2 linked regions of the Saccharomyces cerevisiae S288C genome follow. The protein of the gene in region 1 purifies or fractionates together with the protein of each later gene. This does not show direct contact. Each region holds a gene or a part of one and is shown in the gene's direction. Other genes may lie near its edges.

Region 1 (3,934 bases):
TTGGCGCTGACCAACGATAATTCTGCTTCGAAGCTAGTTGTACCTTTATAAGGTCTTTTCTTCAAATCATATTTCTCCATGGCACTCCTATTGCTCATCTGAACCTGCCTACCAAAATAAATCCTGGTGGGGGTCTTACCACCAACGTTTTCCGATATTGGTGTGTACTCTTCTATAACAGTGAAAACCTCTTGAGGATGTTTCATATCAATCTTTCCTTCAAAGCCAAGGTAACGGAAAGTTTCAATCTGCTCTACCCTCTTAGCTTTACTGTTGCCTTTATAGCATTCGAATTCGAACTTAAAAGTGGAATGTTTGAATTTCAATTGCAGATCCTGTTCAAAGTTAGACTGACGCTGAATATCTTTATGCAGCTCATCGAGCGTTGTACCCTGCCCCCAATACTCATAAATACCTCTGGTTAAAATAGACCTCTTAATCCAATCCTTTGCTTGCTGATCATTTTCCAGCTCTACAATAAAGAAAGGGCTATTGGCATCGTACTGCGAAAAGTCTATGGAAAGATTATATAGGTCTGCTAACGATTCCAGTTCTGCTCTTCTAAAGTTCAAATGAACTTGTACCATATACAGCAGATATTTCTTCATGCTGCCGTTTTTACCTTATATACAATGTGTTTAGTTATGCTATTTCATCTCCATATTACGGGTATTAAGACCTCGATGCCCATAATCATCGATTTTTTTCACTTTTCCCACAACGTAAACATTTCTTTTTTCTTCGGAAAAGAATCCAAAATACGGGTAATAAAAGTCTCTTAAAGTACTAATAGCTATAGATAACATTATGGAGGCTATTGATATACAAAATACTAAGAAATATAGGTTGCTGCAAGGAAGAAGATCAAAAACCCTCTAAATTTCGCTTTATCTATCCATCAAAAGTCCGGAGGGTCATGCTATCGAAAACCTATTGACTATAAATATCAATTTTTTTATCTCTTCGATTTGTTCTTGAAGATCTTGCGCAGAAGTTGAAAAACAAAGAGTAAATCCTAATGTAGATGCGTGGAAAAAGAAACATGCTCTTAAGGATCCCAACTTCTTTCTCTTCTAAACATCTATAACCTTGGAAGATCTTGCGAAATACTGGGCGGCTAAATCGAATGCATTTTTAATCTTACCCGGAAATACTTTCTTTTTTTTATTTATTTTTTTTCTTGCAGCCCCTCCCTACGAGCAGCGCCGAGATTTCTTGTTGGACAAAGCAAAAAAAGTATAAAAGGCGCATGCTTTCCACACGCCCAGGCGCTCTTAAATTTTCTTCCGCTCTCTCCTTTCCGCCACTGTAATTAAAAACAAAGGATTGAACAGTTTCGACTAGTTATTTAATTTTGCAGATAGTCAAGTATTAGTACAATATACTGTTATAAATTTTTTACGTGTATCTTTTACTTTTTAGTGTTTAATAACTAAAATCTCATACCTTACTAGATTTCTTTCTAACCTTTTTTGCGAAAGAAACAAAAAGAAAAAATACGGACAGAAAAGGTATACTCAATAAACAAGAAATTGAAAAAGCGTGCATAATACAAACAATTGGCCCTTTTTTATTCTGTATTAATATTACTGTTTATATTACAATCTTTTCATAAAAGACGCAAATATTTTATTTATAAAGAACTTTAGCAGTATACACAAGTCTGAGAAAATAGAGAATAAGTTAAATAAGCAATGAGCTCTGACGAAGAAGATTTCAACGACATCTACGGCGATGATAAGCCTACCACTACTGAAGAAGTCAAAAAAGAAGAAGAACAAAATAAGGCTGGCAGTGGTACCTCGCAATTAGATCAACTAGCCGCACTACAAGCATTATCTTCTAGCTTGAACAAACTAAATAATCCAAATAGTAACAACAGTAGTAGTAATAATAGTAACCAAGACACATCTTCTAGTAAGCAAGATGGCACTGCGAATGACAAGGAAGGTTCCAATGAAGACACTAAGAATGAAAAAAAACAAGAAAGCGCTACATCAGCAAATGCCAATGCCAACGCTAGTTCTGCAGGACCTTCTGGCTTACCTTGGGAACAACTTCAACAAACCATGTCACAATTCCAGCAACCATCTTCTCAATCACCACCTCAACAGCAAGTAACTCAAACCAAAGAGGAACGTTCGAAAGCGGATTTGTCTAAAGAAAGTTGCAAGATGTTCATTGGTGGTCTGAATTGGGACACTACGGAAGATAATCTTCGCGAATATTTTGGTAAGTATGGTACCGTCACTGATTTGAAAATCATGAAAGACCCTGCAACAGGTAGATCTAGAGGGTTCGGTTTCTTATCTTTTGAAAAACCTTCTAGTGTTGATGAAGTGGTAAAGACACAACATATCCTCGATGGTAAAGTTATCGACCCAAAAAGAGCTATCCCAAGAGACGAGCAAGATAAAACCGGTAAAATCTTTGTTGGTGGTATTGGTCCTGATGTGAGACCAAAGGAATTTGAAGAATTTTTTTCTCAGTGGGGTACGATTATCGATGCGCAACTGATGTTAGATAAGGATACCGGTCAATCAAGAGGTTTTGGTTTTGTGACGTATGACTCCGCTGACGCCGTTGACAGAGTTTGTCAGAATAAATTCATCGATTTCAAAGATCGCAAGATCGAAATCAAGAGAGCTGAGCCAAGACATATGCAACAAAAATCATCAAACAATGGTGGTAACAATGGTGGAAACAACATGAATCGTCGTGGCGGTAACTTCGGTAACCAAGGCGATTTCAACCAAATGTATCAAAACCCTATGATGGGCGGTTACAACCCAATGATGAATCCGCAAGCAATGACAGATTACTATCAAAAGATGCAAGAATATTACCAACAAATGCAAAAGCAAACTGGTATGGATTATACTCAAATGTACCAACAACAAATGCAGCAAATGGCAATGATGATGCCAGGGTTTGCCATGCCACCTAATGCAATGACTTTAAACCAACCACAGCAAGATTCAAATGCCACTCAAGGTTCCCCAGCACCTTCTGATTCCGATAATAATAAATCCAATGACGTCCAAACTATTGGTAATACATCAAACACTGACTCTGGTTCACCGCCATTGAATTTACCTAATGGTCCAAAGGGCCCATCACAATACAATGATGACCACAATAGCGGTTATGGCTACAACCGTGATCGCGGTGATCGTGATCGTAACGATCGTGACCGCGATTACAATCACCGTAGTGGTGGAAACCATAGAAGAAACGGCCGTGGTGGTCGCGGTGGATACAATAGACGTAATAATGGCTACCATCCATATAATAGGTAAAAAAAAAGAAAAGTGTAGAAAACTAGAGAAAAGTTTTCTTGTATAATTCAACAACCCTTCTATTAAATAAGCATAAGCAATTTATAATATATATATACATGTACGTGTATTAGTTTCGAATAGTTATTATTTTTTTTTCACTATGCTAGAATGTATAATCACAAGCTCTACTTGAAGTACAGCTGTCATAAAGCTTACAAATAATCTTAATGTTATTGTGCGCAAGAATGTAAGAGGCAGACATTAACTGATATCACCATGAGACATGCCTAATTGAACAATGGCATAAACGTTCAGTAAAGATAAGAAAAGCCACACAATTATAGCAATAACAGTGATAATCCAATTGTTTGCCATATAAACGATTTTGACATCTTTTCCATTTTCTATCTCCATGCCACTAGAACCATCTTGCTCGATTACGCTACCTGCAGATCTATCGTTGTTATTTTGATGGTTATGGCTATCTTCTTCAGTATGGTCGACGGTAATTTCGGTTTTCATGATTGATTTTTTACATGTGAAGAAAATTAAAGGTGCTACCAAAAATGGCAGAACTATGGATAAAACAACTTGGGAAGCATTTAAGGCCTTTGATAAAGCTTCTCTACCGATACAGATAGAGATGACCAAAC
Region 2 (3,934 bases), on another chromosome or scaffold:
AATGAACGGGTAGTAGCGAAAGTCAGCATCTTCTGCAACGCCTTGCTTTCAATAGGAAGATCTGTAACTATGAAACCTAATAAGGTAGCCATATTCGGACAAATCATACCCGCGCCCTTTGCCATACCTGTCAAAGTATACTCAGTACCACTAGGTAATTTGAATCTAGATGTAACTAATTTTGGGAAAGTATCAGTAGTACAGATTGATTTGGCTACGTTCAACCAAGAGTTAAAATCACTGCCGAACTTTTCTTCTCCAAAAATTTTATTGATACCAGTGCTGATCTTGTCCATCTGTAGTCGTTGTCCAATAACGCCTGTAGACATGACTAGGGTAGAATTTTTTTGACCAATTTTATCGTTAACCAAATCAATCATTACTTGGGCATCTTTCATACCAAGATCACCTGTGACCGAGTTAGCACAACCGGAATTGACTACAATAGCGTTGATGTTTTTACCACGAGCAGTTTCAAGGACTTTTTTCGATGTCAAAACTGGCGCAGCTTTGAATTTATTGGTCGTGAAAACAGCTGCTGCGGTTGAAGGACGAGATTTATTGGTATTCAAGATTACACCCAGGTCCAGGCTCCCGTTTTTTTTGACTCCAGATGCAGTGTAGCCTACTTCAAATCCTTTAGGAAAAGAGCCCGTCTTGGGCACGTATAATGCATACTTATCTATAAGCTGCTTCGAGCGTTGAAGCAATGTTGATGATATTCTCATGCTATGTTGAATTTTGGACTTCTTTAAATAAAGGGAATAGAAGTATTGCTGATACTAGCCCAAAAATCGTCACCTTTGTGCGGCGAGCCGAGGATGAGGCTTTTATATACTCGACGACTAAAGAAGTTGGCAACGAATTACGCAGTGAGTCATCCTACCTGTCCATCGCAGTAGAAAAAGACCTTCGCCAAGAAAACACCGTCAATAATGATTGCTAAGCACTCTCACTTAGTACTACTATCAACGCTACCTTCAATTTGGGTCTAACCACGGCCCTATTGCATCACTACTCTCTTTATTCTATGATACAGCGTGGGGGTGAAGCCAAGAGCCCTGTGTTTTACTTCAGCATACCAACAAAGTATAAGATTACTTTTGCTATACAGCGATGAAAAATGTATTTTAATGTTTGTAAATTTATGATCTACTGACACGTCTCAGACAGATCACATTTACAACACAGCATGCTATGACTATATACAAAACATGACTTTTCTTTATCACTAAAAGTAACTGCCAATTTATTGTCGAATCTCGCTATAGTTTGATTTTCACCAGCGGCGCGCGCAAGTATAAGCTAAGAAACAATGAATATAGATAGATAGTGATGAGCGTTGAGAACCGGGAAATGAGTAGAGACGTCCTTCTAAACAAAGATTTATACGGTTGAGACAGATTCATTGAGGAAAAGAGGAGAATGGTTAGCATGATCCATATTGTGGTGTTTTTGCTAGCAATCACAACCATGTTCGAAATACTTCCGCTAATAACCGTCCCCGTGACCAAGTACCTATCGTTATCGTCATTCAGAAACCACTATTATGGCCTGTTTGGCTGGTGTGTACGTGGTCAAAACCAAGAATTGATGTGCACGAAAATGAAGATAGGATATGACAGTACAGATGTCGACTCCTCCGGGCACGTTTTGACCCTGCCATCGAACTCAAAAGTGGTCGTCTCCAATTTATTAGTGGTTCACCCGATTTCACTGGCATTCACAGGAACGCTATTAATTTTAGCAGTGATTATCATGGTAACTCCACTAGGGGACTCACCTGAGATGTTATTGTTCACGGCCCTTTTTTCGCTGCCAACGTTCATGCTATGTCTTTTATGTTTTTTGGTAGATATTCTTCTGTTCATCTCCAAACTGGACTGGCCCGGCTGGCTAATGCTAGCCGCTACTATTAGCGTAGCACTTTGTTGTTCCATGCTGTGGGTCATGAGAAGAGTTGTGTCAGTCAAAAAATATGAATCGCAACAGTCAATTGCGCATGCGTGCTCAATGGAACAGTACTCAATTTCCGACATTTACCAGAGTAAACAGAACGGCAATAGCTCAGAATATGAAGTGGCTCCAACACATACAGATAGTCTGATTGCTCCAGAAGTGACATATAGAGGGTTCATTGAATAAGTAACATCATGTGTCATTTTGCACGTTACATCGGTTTGCCAATCGGCTTCCAAATATTTGTACATTTTTTTCTTCCTCCATCACTATCTGTTAAGGGTCTTAGAAAATGATTACTACAGTGCAAGAAATCAGCAAATGGAGAAACCTGTGCTTCATTAGGATGCAATCTCGCAAATGGTACCCAGTACTTAAAAAGACTCCTTTAGTAGCGGACGGTCGAAAGATCATTAAACATGCCGATAAAGTTCCTCATCCGGAAGAAATAATTCACCCATTTTACCAACCAACAGCAATAGAACAATTCACGGCATGCGCTACGGAATACAATCCTAGCCTGCTTGATGGCAAAAAAATTGCTCCATCACTGATAAAACACCCGGTGAGCCTAAAAACCATACTAGTTGATAGCAAATTAAAGTTTGATGATATTAGGGGAGTGAATAAATGGTTGATGGAATTCGTTGCAAGACGACAACATCAAAGAAATATTGTACTTACACCTGCGAGCAAAAGCGTTAGATCTTTTCACGTTCTGCATTTGTCTTCAACCGATATTGCCAAATTAAGAGGTCTTGAAAATATATTATCAGAGATTGAAAACACGAATGATTTGCAATCCAGGGTCGAGTCCGTAAATAATGAACTACAGAATATTTTTGACCGCGACAGTAAACAGACAAGATTATTTTGCGAGAATATACTGGCTTATTTGATAAAGAATTATGGAAACTCGACTGAAAAACTTATACTACTAATAAATGTTACTGAGATGCAATTATATTCACGTTTAGACCAAATGAAGGCCATGAACATTATTTTATATAATATCCTTTGTAAAGTGGAAGCAAATGAAAACCCACCGTACAGTCCCACATTGGTTACCGCACTAGAAAACCTATTGGCAGCGATCAACAACAGATTTTTTCCAGGGCGTTGCGAAAATTCATTGCACCCAATAGTAATTGAACAACTATTATCATATTTCATTAAAACCGGCAATTTGAATGAAAGCAAAAATTTTTTGGGCCATTTAATAAAAAAGGGTATTTTACCAGAGGCTACTATCATTAATAGATATTTGGAGGCAATTGATGTTCATTTCGATAAAAGCACTAAGATTTTTGATATAAGATCCAAATTTGCATTCATAGCAGATCTTGCACCCATAATAGAAAATTATGGAACAATAGACCTGTTCAAATTTTTGATACCTATGTGCCGGCATTTCGACGAATTGTGTTCTCTGCTAAATATTATTCGAAAATCCAATAACGCAAAACGGGCTGTGGATAGCACCTTACCTATTTTTATCAAAAAAGTATTAACATTTACTAAAGATCCAATGATCAACTCCGGAAATCTATCCACTGTTTTCAATATAGTGAGCCCAATATATGGACAAAACGTGCCCAGCGAATTCGTGGAGAAATTTATACTGTCTTTTGCACTTCAAGGAAATTACACTATGATGGCTCATATGATAGATACATATAAGATCAAACTAAGTCATAAATACCAACTACAAATTATTAGGGCTCTCAAAAATAGTGAGAGAAATCACGCGCTTAAGAATACGGGCGCTGTAGGTTATAATAAGGAATTTAAAAAGTACTTCATCGAGAAATATTTGAATTGCACTGAACGAGAAGCTTTACGCCCATAAATCGTCTATATTAAAAAAAAGGCAGCATAAGAGCAACTCACTGCAAAGGGAATTGCGCATTCCACGCAAATAAACAATGTAAATAAGAATACGTACTGTAACTGTGTCACACTAGCGGGTTGTTTT

The links.
Region 2: the proteins of HRP1 (region 1) and AEP1 purify together in Saccharomyces cerevisiae (affinity purification with mass spectrometry, with the first as the bait; 2 studies listed by BioGRID). This does not show direct contact.

What each region holds. Positions count from the first base shown.
Region 1 is NC_001147.6:86,150-90,083, forward strand, and holds HRP1 (Hrp1p), read left to right. Parts: upstream 1-1,694; coding exon 1,695-3,299; downstream 3,300-3,934. Other genes in the region: TRM11 (tRNA (guanine-N2-)-methyltransferase), read right to left, coding at 1-608; divalent metal ion transporter SMF1, read right to left, coding at 3,543-3,934. UniProt on the Saccharomyces cerevisiae protein: RNA-binding protein, which is involved in the polyadenylation-dependent pre-mRNA 3'-end formation and cooperates with the cleavage factor CFIA complex and the cleavage and polyadenylation factor (CPF) complex.
Region 2 is NC_001145.3:395,652-399,585, forward strand, and holds AEP1 (Aep1p), read left to right. Parts: upstream 1-2,251; coding exon 2,252-3,808; downstream 3,809-3,934. Other genes in the region: ARG7 (glutamate N-acetyltransferase), read right to left, coding at 1-728; RIM9 (Rim9p), read left to right, coding at 1,426-2,145. UniProt on the Saccharomyces cerevisiae protein: Required for translation of the mitochondrial OLI1 transcript encoding subunit 9 of mitochondrial ATP synthase.